2 linked regions of the Cricetulus griseus genome follow. The protein of the gene in region 2 purifies or fractionates together with the protein of the main gene of each other region. This does not show direct contact. Links are inferred from orthologs where the notes say so. Each region holds a gene or a part of one and is shown on either strand. Other genes may lie near its edges.

Region 1 (3,656 bases), on a different chromosome or scaffold from region 2:
GTCAATGGAGAGCCATGTGTCCTTTCTGCCAGAGCTAAGGGAACTGATTCCTTTTGACAGATGGGAACTGGTTCCACAAGTTCTTGAGGAATGCTGGCCTTTATCTAACCACTAGAAATCCTCCTATAGTCTAGATTGAGCTCCTTTCTGGATATTTGGACTGCCTATGAGATCTAACACCTTTTACTTGATTATTTACCTATGAAATCGAATCTTTCTCTCTTCTTCAGGTTGGACACTTAATAATGATTCTGGAGGTGTTTTGCTGAGTTTATTTATTTATTGATTGATTAATTATTTACTTTTTAGAATGTATTTCAGTCAGATATGTGTAGAGCATATGGCTGACAATTTATATCCAGAAAATACATCTAAATGAAACTTCTCTGAAAAAATTTACAAAACCCTGTATTTGGTTATTTTGGAATGTTACATTTTTGTGATAAGGATATTTTGTTTTAAAAAATGTAATTCTGCTCATGAGTATAATAGAAACCCAGTCTTCCAGTTGTTGAATCCTAAGAGGACAATGGCCACCAATTCTTGGTGTTTCTCTCAAGCAGGTTGCTGCTGTTACTTTTAACAGGAAAGTTGCTTTTAAATGTGCAAATTAGTCAAATAATTCACAACCCTCCTTTCTTGCAAAACTACAACTAATACCTTTTGCTTTCTCTTTTTAAATTGCTTGTGTTTCAATAAGAATGAAAGGCATTAACAAAATAGGAGTTTTTGTCTCATGTATAAGTTGTCTATTCATTAAGTTCATAGCCATTCAAGGAGGGCCCAGAATGGTCTAAATCACTAATATTTCAATACCACATTATCTCTAAATGAGGCAACAATAAATAACTTTACAGAGTCATTGCATTGTTTGTTTACATTAGCTATTCACCTTTTTTTTTTCACAAGTTAGATTTGTATACCAAAACCAAAATTTATCTTTGAATCTATAATGGATACAGTCACATCACTGAATCCATTTTTATTGTTTCTTTTGAAATCTTTGTACTTAAAAAGGAAGGAATCTTAAGAATATCCTTTTCTTAGTCAGGCATGATAGTAAATGCAATTGCAGCATTCAGGAGACTGAGGCAGGAGCATCATCAAGAATTGATGACCAGCTTGGGATATGTAGTGAGACCATCTTAAAGTAAGAAACAACCCACCTGTCTCCTAGGTGTAAGTAACTTCCACTCTTGTCAGCCTAAGACTGACTAGTCCTTAACCTTCCTGGCAAATTCTATACTTGCTGACCAGAACTGTGCACACAGATGATGTGCATATCTATTTCATACCGATTTGTATCAGCAAACTAATTTTTGAAAGTGCACCAGGATGCTTAGGAAAGTAGACTGAACTAAAATCAACAGTACATTTCAAAGGGAAAAGACACATAGTTGATTCTAAGAAACATGGTATATTAAAAAGTTTCAGATGCCGTTTACCCTTCCTTTCTGTTTGATGATCTTGTCCCATTGGATGTGAAATTGGGTCGAGGAACTCAGTCCAGGAGACGTTCTCTTGACTCTGGGTTGTCATTCTTTGACTTGGATGGTTGTGGGTTGATGCTGTTGTCACCATGCAGTTCAAACAATCATCAAAATGTTAATTGACATTTGGGCAGGGATATATAGACTGGCTTTTTAAAAAAAGACTTTATTCTCTAGAGAAGATAATGAAAATCACTTTCTAGTAGTGAGGACAAAGGAGCTGCATCAGTTTAGAATGTTTTCCCACGTTTGGTTTCATTTGTGTTCAATTTCTTGGTCACCAGCATGTAAGTTGGAGGATGCATAGCATTAACAAGTGCTGTAATGGATAGAAGATGAGTTACAGGCATCAAGGGAGGATGAAGTAATTGTCAACACAAGCTGCCACAGTCCCCTAAAGAAAGCCTTGTAAGAGCTCAAGTGCATGATGTCACTCTGAGACAATCACCTCCCACAGTGAAATGCATGAGCTGGTAGTGATAAACAGAAGACATCAGGTAAAGGCTTCCCAAGGGATGAGCATGAAAGTGCTACTTCTCACAAAAGCACAGAGGGGGTCCATCAGAAACATTGCCTTCTAACAATGAGAAATGGCATGTAGGTACTCGTGGATTATGCCTTTGTTTCATTCTGTGCCATTGGAGAAGTACAGGAAGAAAGATTACAGTAGCATTCCCCAGAAACAAACACACCAAGGAGCCAGTCACCAAACTACTAGTGATTCATTTACAAGTTGCCCTGCACTGCAAAGAGGTTATGTATCAGATTCCACATTGCAGATGGAAACATGGAGATATTTCCCACTGATACCAAGTGATAATGTAGAATTCACACACTTTGCAGGGCAGGGTGAATCACAACGCTTAATCACACAGACAAAGGAATCATGCAGAGGGGCTTGCAGAGACATGTTATCATCTGGCATCCTTCACAGATGATAAGACTTAAATCTAATTCCCACAACCCCACAGTTCCAGAATGGAGAAGATGACTTTATTTGTAAATGTGATTAAGCAGTTGTACATTCGAGGAGATATTCAAAACAGGTAAGAACAAAAGGTCAGATGACATCACCCAGGGATCTTTCTTTTTCTTCTAATGCTTGAATCCACCCACAACACTAGATTTCTAATAAAATTCTTTCTTATAAGCTTAGTGCTTTACAAAAATATAAGGAAAAAACAGACTTGTATTATATAGTAAGTGAGTTTTAGGAAGCAGAAACGGGGTTTTCATTAGAGAGGGCCTTTGTCATTGTCTCACTAGGTGATGCCTCAAACTAGATATGAAAACCACACACGTAGAGACTAAATCTATTTTTTTCATGTGCGTCTATCTATGGCTGTCCAGGTAGCTTGTTAAGAACATTAACACTCTGGATCTATGTTTACTTCAATGTGATGTATTAAGGAACCAAACACCTTGGACAATTCCTTCAGTGTCTTTTTTTGTGTCGACTTTCCAATGCCCAGTATTGAACTCAGAAAGTAGTTTCCACCCACATTGTGAAACCCTCCATTACCAGTTGCCCCTGCTGTCACATGGGAGTCTTCAGTTGGTGTGGGGGAGTACTTCCCCTGCCATCCATTCTCAAACCACTGCTCTTGCTGAGTAGCAGCTTCTTCTGTTGTACTACTAGGAGCTGCCTGGGCTGTGAGGAGAATGCTGATGGTGAGCCATATTGTCTAGGTTCTTAACAAACCCTCTGATATGTCTGTCTACATTAAGGGTAGAGATAGATAGGTAGGTAGGTAAGTAGGTACATACATACACACACACACACATATACACACACACACACATATATATATATATATATATATATACTATATACATACACATATAGATATATAGATGATAGATAAATGCTACATACATACATAGATACATGGATGATAGATAAATACATACATACATGCATACATACATTCATAATAGATGATAGATAGATAGATAGATAGGTAGATAATGACAATAATAGTTGGTGATAAGCTACTTATATTCTGAAAGGTAGATTCCAGAAATAAAAGTTTTAATTTTCCAATCCTTTAATTTTCCAGATGGGAAAAGAAATTTCATTTGTTGAAAGTCATGTACCCAGAGTAGCACAAAGTCAGGATGAGACCTTAGCCTGTATATTATGAAGTCTAAGTATTCTTGTTTTAA
Region 2 (3,656 bases):
CCATCTTCATCCATTCATTGGTTGTGTAACTTTATCTAATTACCAGTGTTTCTATGAGTGTGATCATTCCATTTGCAGTGGACAGATATGGTGCCCATTCATTAACTTATTCTTTCCACAAATTGTTGCAAATGGCAAATGCAAGATAAAGAGATCTAAATTGGAATGAACCACAATTCCTGCTCCTAAACAGCTGATAATCAGATGTTGCCTTAATTTAGGAAGAACTATTTTAGTGTGTGTGTGTGTGTGTGTGTGTGTGTGTGTGTGTGTGTGTGAGTGTGTGTGTGTAGCCAAATTACCTAAATAAATTCCAGAAACTTGTAAATACATTTGTATTCCTTTTTGTCATACTGGACTCACACTGTTGGAGTAGTCTTTCAAACACACAAAATAACATATGACATGAAAAAGGACATGATCCCCTAAGTACATAAATGTTTCTTTTCTATTAGTACTACTCATGACATCTAAATAGTAATAGATGCAGTCTCTAAGGTTAAAGGTGTACTTTCAAAATAAGTCTGTATTGCCAGAAATAACCTTCAAAATGAATTCAAACACAGTCACCCAACAGAACATGATGGGGGCTTCAAAGTTAAGTTCACTCATTCATAATATGTTCAATAACTATTGAATTTCTACTGTATGACAGATACTGTGCTAGCCAGTGCACTGGGATAAAATTCTGATTAGTGATAGACACAGTCTTGTTCTCATAGACTTCAAAGTCAAGTGGAAGTAGAGAGTTTCAATCTGGGAATCACCTTAAGAAGAATAAAAAAACTGCTGTGATAAGCAGTGTGGAAGGGACAAATGTGGTGCTGTGTAGGAAAACACTTGGACAGACTCAGGCAAAGGGTTGAAGACACTTCTCTGGACCAAGACTGAACCCAGATGCAAGGTATAAAAAGTAACTATTTGATGTTGCCCTACATGTGCCATTCATGGCAGAAGCAAAAGCAGCTATTTGAAAAAGCTCTGGGCAGAAGTGATTGAGATCTTGATCCTGAGAGAAAGGCAAAAGAATTAGGAGAAGCTTGGACCGGAGTGTCAAAGCATGGTTTAAGGGTACCGAAACCACACGACCAGACTTCATTTTACAAACCAAATGATAGAAAATGGCAAGAATATCCTCTTTGGAGAAAAGAGAAAGGGTTCTTTAGGAAGAGAAGAAAGTTACAATGTTTGTGGTGGTGACTGAAGGTAGGAGACCCAGGCTGGAGACAGGTGATGGTGGTTGGTTTCTGGTAATCCAGGGATGAGGCCTGGGTGTTAGGTAACCACAAGGAGGAAGAGAAGCTGTAAGAGACTCATGAGATGTTAAGCAATTCTGTGGGTTTCCTTGTGTGTGGCAACAATATGCACTCATATTGAAGATGAAATGAAACACTCTTTTTTTCCTTTGAAGAACTAAAGTGGGATGACTTATTGTCTGGGTTTTCTTCTCCTCAGGCTGGGATTTTTTGTCTTCTTATTTAGTGGTTCTCTCTATATAAATATTCTTAAGAAATTAAGAATATTCTTGTGGCTTAGAGATTTCTTTTTACTAGCAAATTAAGAGTCAACATTAAATATTTAGACACATTTTGGCAATGAACTCTTAGTAGTACTAATTTTCACAGAGATTTTTTTTTAAAAAATAGCCATTACTTATATAGACAATATTTCATTTGGAATGTATGGCAACTTAATGAAATATGAAGTTCTAAGACTTCCTTGTTAGTTAGGTTCCACCTGTCAGGTAGTAAGACCTAAAGATAAAAAGTTTTAGTGAAACTGTTACTTAGTGTTACCTGAAGTTAACCTTAATACATTATTTCTTAGCCCTGGAGCTACCGCTGTGATATCCCTGGCATTTGGACGATACATTCTGGAACCATTTTTTATTCAATGTGAAATTCCTGAACTTGCAATCAAGCTCGTAACAGCTGTGGGCATCAGTGAGTATTGTAGCTATAACAGAAAAGAAGAATGTAATGTAACAATGTGATTAGAGGCAAATTTTCTTTAGCATTTTTGGGGGGGGGACATAGTATTTCCCAAATTGTCTTCTCTGTGCTTATGGTTTCAAATCTGTGTAGGAAACTAGAGGCAAGAACAGAAGATTTGAAGTGGCCTCTTCTATTACAGTGTGTGCTAACTGTATACAGGGTTCACAAGTGTGGGGCCTGAGCTTTTAAAGTAGACAAAGACTCCTTCCTGGGTAAAATATTGAATGGATGGTGGATCAAAAGACAGTCTCACAGATGACGAATTCTGAGGAATTGCTTTTTAAACTAGAAATAACCCTATGCCAGTGATATGTGAAATTATTACTCACCAGTAGTCCTTGGGCTATGTTTATATGTTGGGTGTGCATATTGTGTTTGTATTGTTTATAGTGATATTGACTGTCACCCTCACTGTTATCATTTTTCTCTGCCTATTTTTGGTCATGATAAGAATTTTCTCTCAAGATTTGATAACCAGTAGCCTTTCTCAGCTGGAATATTTGTTTATGGGCTATAAATTAGGAAGTTGTTTATTTTTTTATTAATTGGCATAGACATTTGGAAATTGAAGAAACAGATAAAATGAAAAGAGGAACATATACAAGATTCCATAAGCAATTGTTGTTTGTTTTTTACTCTTTTCTCTTTGGGGGGCCCAACACCCAGTTTCTACATAAATCATACAAGCCTTACCTTGGCTTGTTTCTAGGCAACTTTTCTTAACTTAAACTATCCCAGTCTACCACCAGGCTTTTTCCTTTTCTTACTTCTGTGTATCTTTTTTTCTTTTACATTTGTTTTTTTTTTTTCATTTTTCATACCAACCACAGTTCCCCTCCCTCCCCTCCTCCTGCCCATGCCAACCTTCCCCTCAATCAACCCCCCACTCACTCCTTAGTAAGGGTGAGGCCTCCCATGGGAAGTCAACAAAGTATGGCATATCAAGTTTAGACAGGATCAAGCCCCTCCCTCCTGCATGGAGGCTGTGCAAGGTATCCCTCCCTAGGGAATGGGCTCCAAAAGTCAGTTCATACTTTAGGGATAAATCCTGGTCCTACCACCAGTGGCTCCACAGACAGCCCAAGTCACAGAACTGTCATCCATATTCAGAAGGCCTAGTTCAGTCCTATACAGATTCCCCAGGACCCTAAGAGAGACATGCAGGGATGCCCCTGGGAAGGGGAAATAGATAAGATCTTCTGAGTAAAATGGGAGGGGTGTGAAAACATGAGGGAATGAGATGGTTGAGTTTGAGGAGAGATAGAAAGAGCAAGGAAATAGAAATCCCCATAGAGGGAGCCATTATGGAGTTAGGGAGAGTTCTGTTGCTAGAGAAACTCCCAGGAATCCACAAGGAGGACCCCAGCTAAGACTCCTAGCAATAGTTGAGAGGGTGCCTGAACTGACCTTCTCTTGTGATCAAACTGATGACCACACTAACTGTCATCATAGCACCTTCGTCTAGAAACTGATGGAAGTAGATGTAGAGATCCACAGCTAAGCACTGGGCCAACCTCCTAGAGTCCAGCTGATGAGAGGGAAAAGGGATTATATGAGCAAAGGGTCAAGATCATGATGGGGAAACCCACAGAGACAGCTGACCTGAGCAAGTGGGAGCTCACTGACACTTCTGTTTATCTTACTTTCACTCTTACTCTGTGG

The links. Proteins that work in one complex are often made in the same cells at the same time.
Region 1: the proteins of Slc7a11 (region 2) and Cd44 purify together in Homo sapiens (affinity purification with western blotting; 3 studies listed by BioGRID and IntAct, with this or other methods). This does not show direct contact. The link is inferred for Cricetulus griseus from reciprocal best matches to the Homo sapiens genes SLC7A11 and CD44.

The regions. Positions count from the first base shown.
Region 1 is NC_048599.1:74,823,164-74,826,819, reverse strand, and holds part of Cd44 (CD44 antigen), read right to left. Parts: intron 3,142-3,656; coding exon 3,013-3,141; intron 1,569-3,012; coding exon 1,446-1,568; intron 1-1,445. UniProt on the Homo sapiens protein: Cell-surface receptor that plays a role in cell-cell interactions, cell adhesion and migration, helping them to sense and respond to changes in the tissue microenvironment.
Region 2 is NW_023276806.1:100,999,600-101,003,255, forward strand, and holds part of Slc7a11 (cystine/glutamate transporter), read left to right. Parts: intron 1-1,827; coding exon 1,828-1,943; intron 1,944-3,656. UniProt on the Homo sapiens protein: Heterodimer with SLC3A2, that functions as an antiporter by mediating the exchange of extracellular anionic L-cystine and intracellular L-glutamate across the cellular plasma membrane.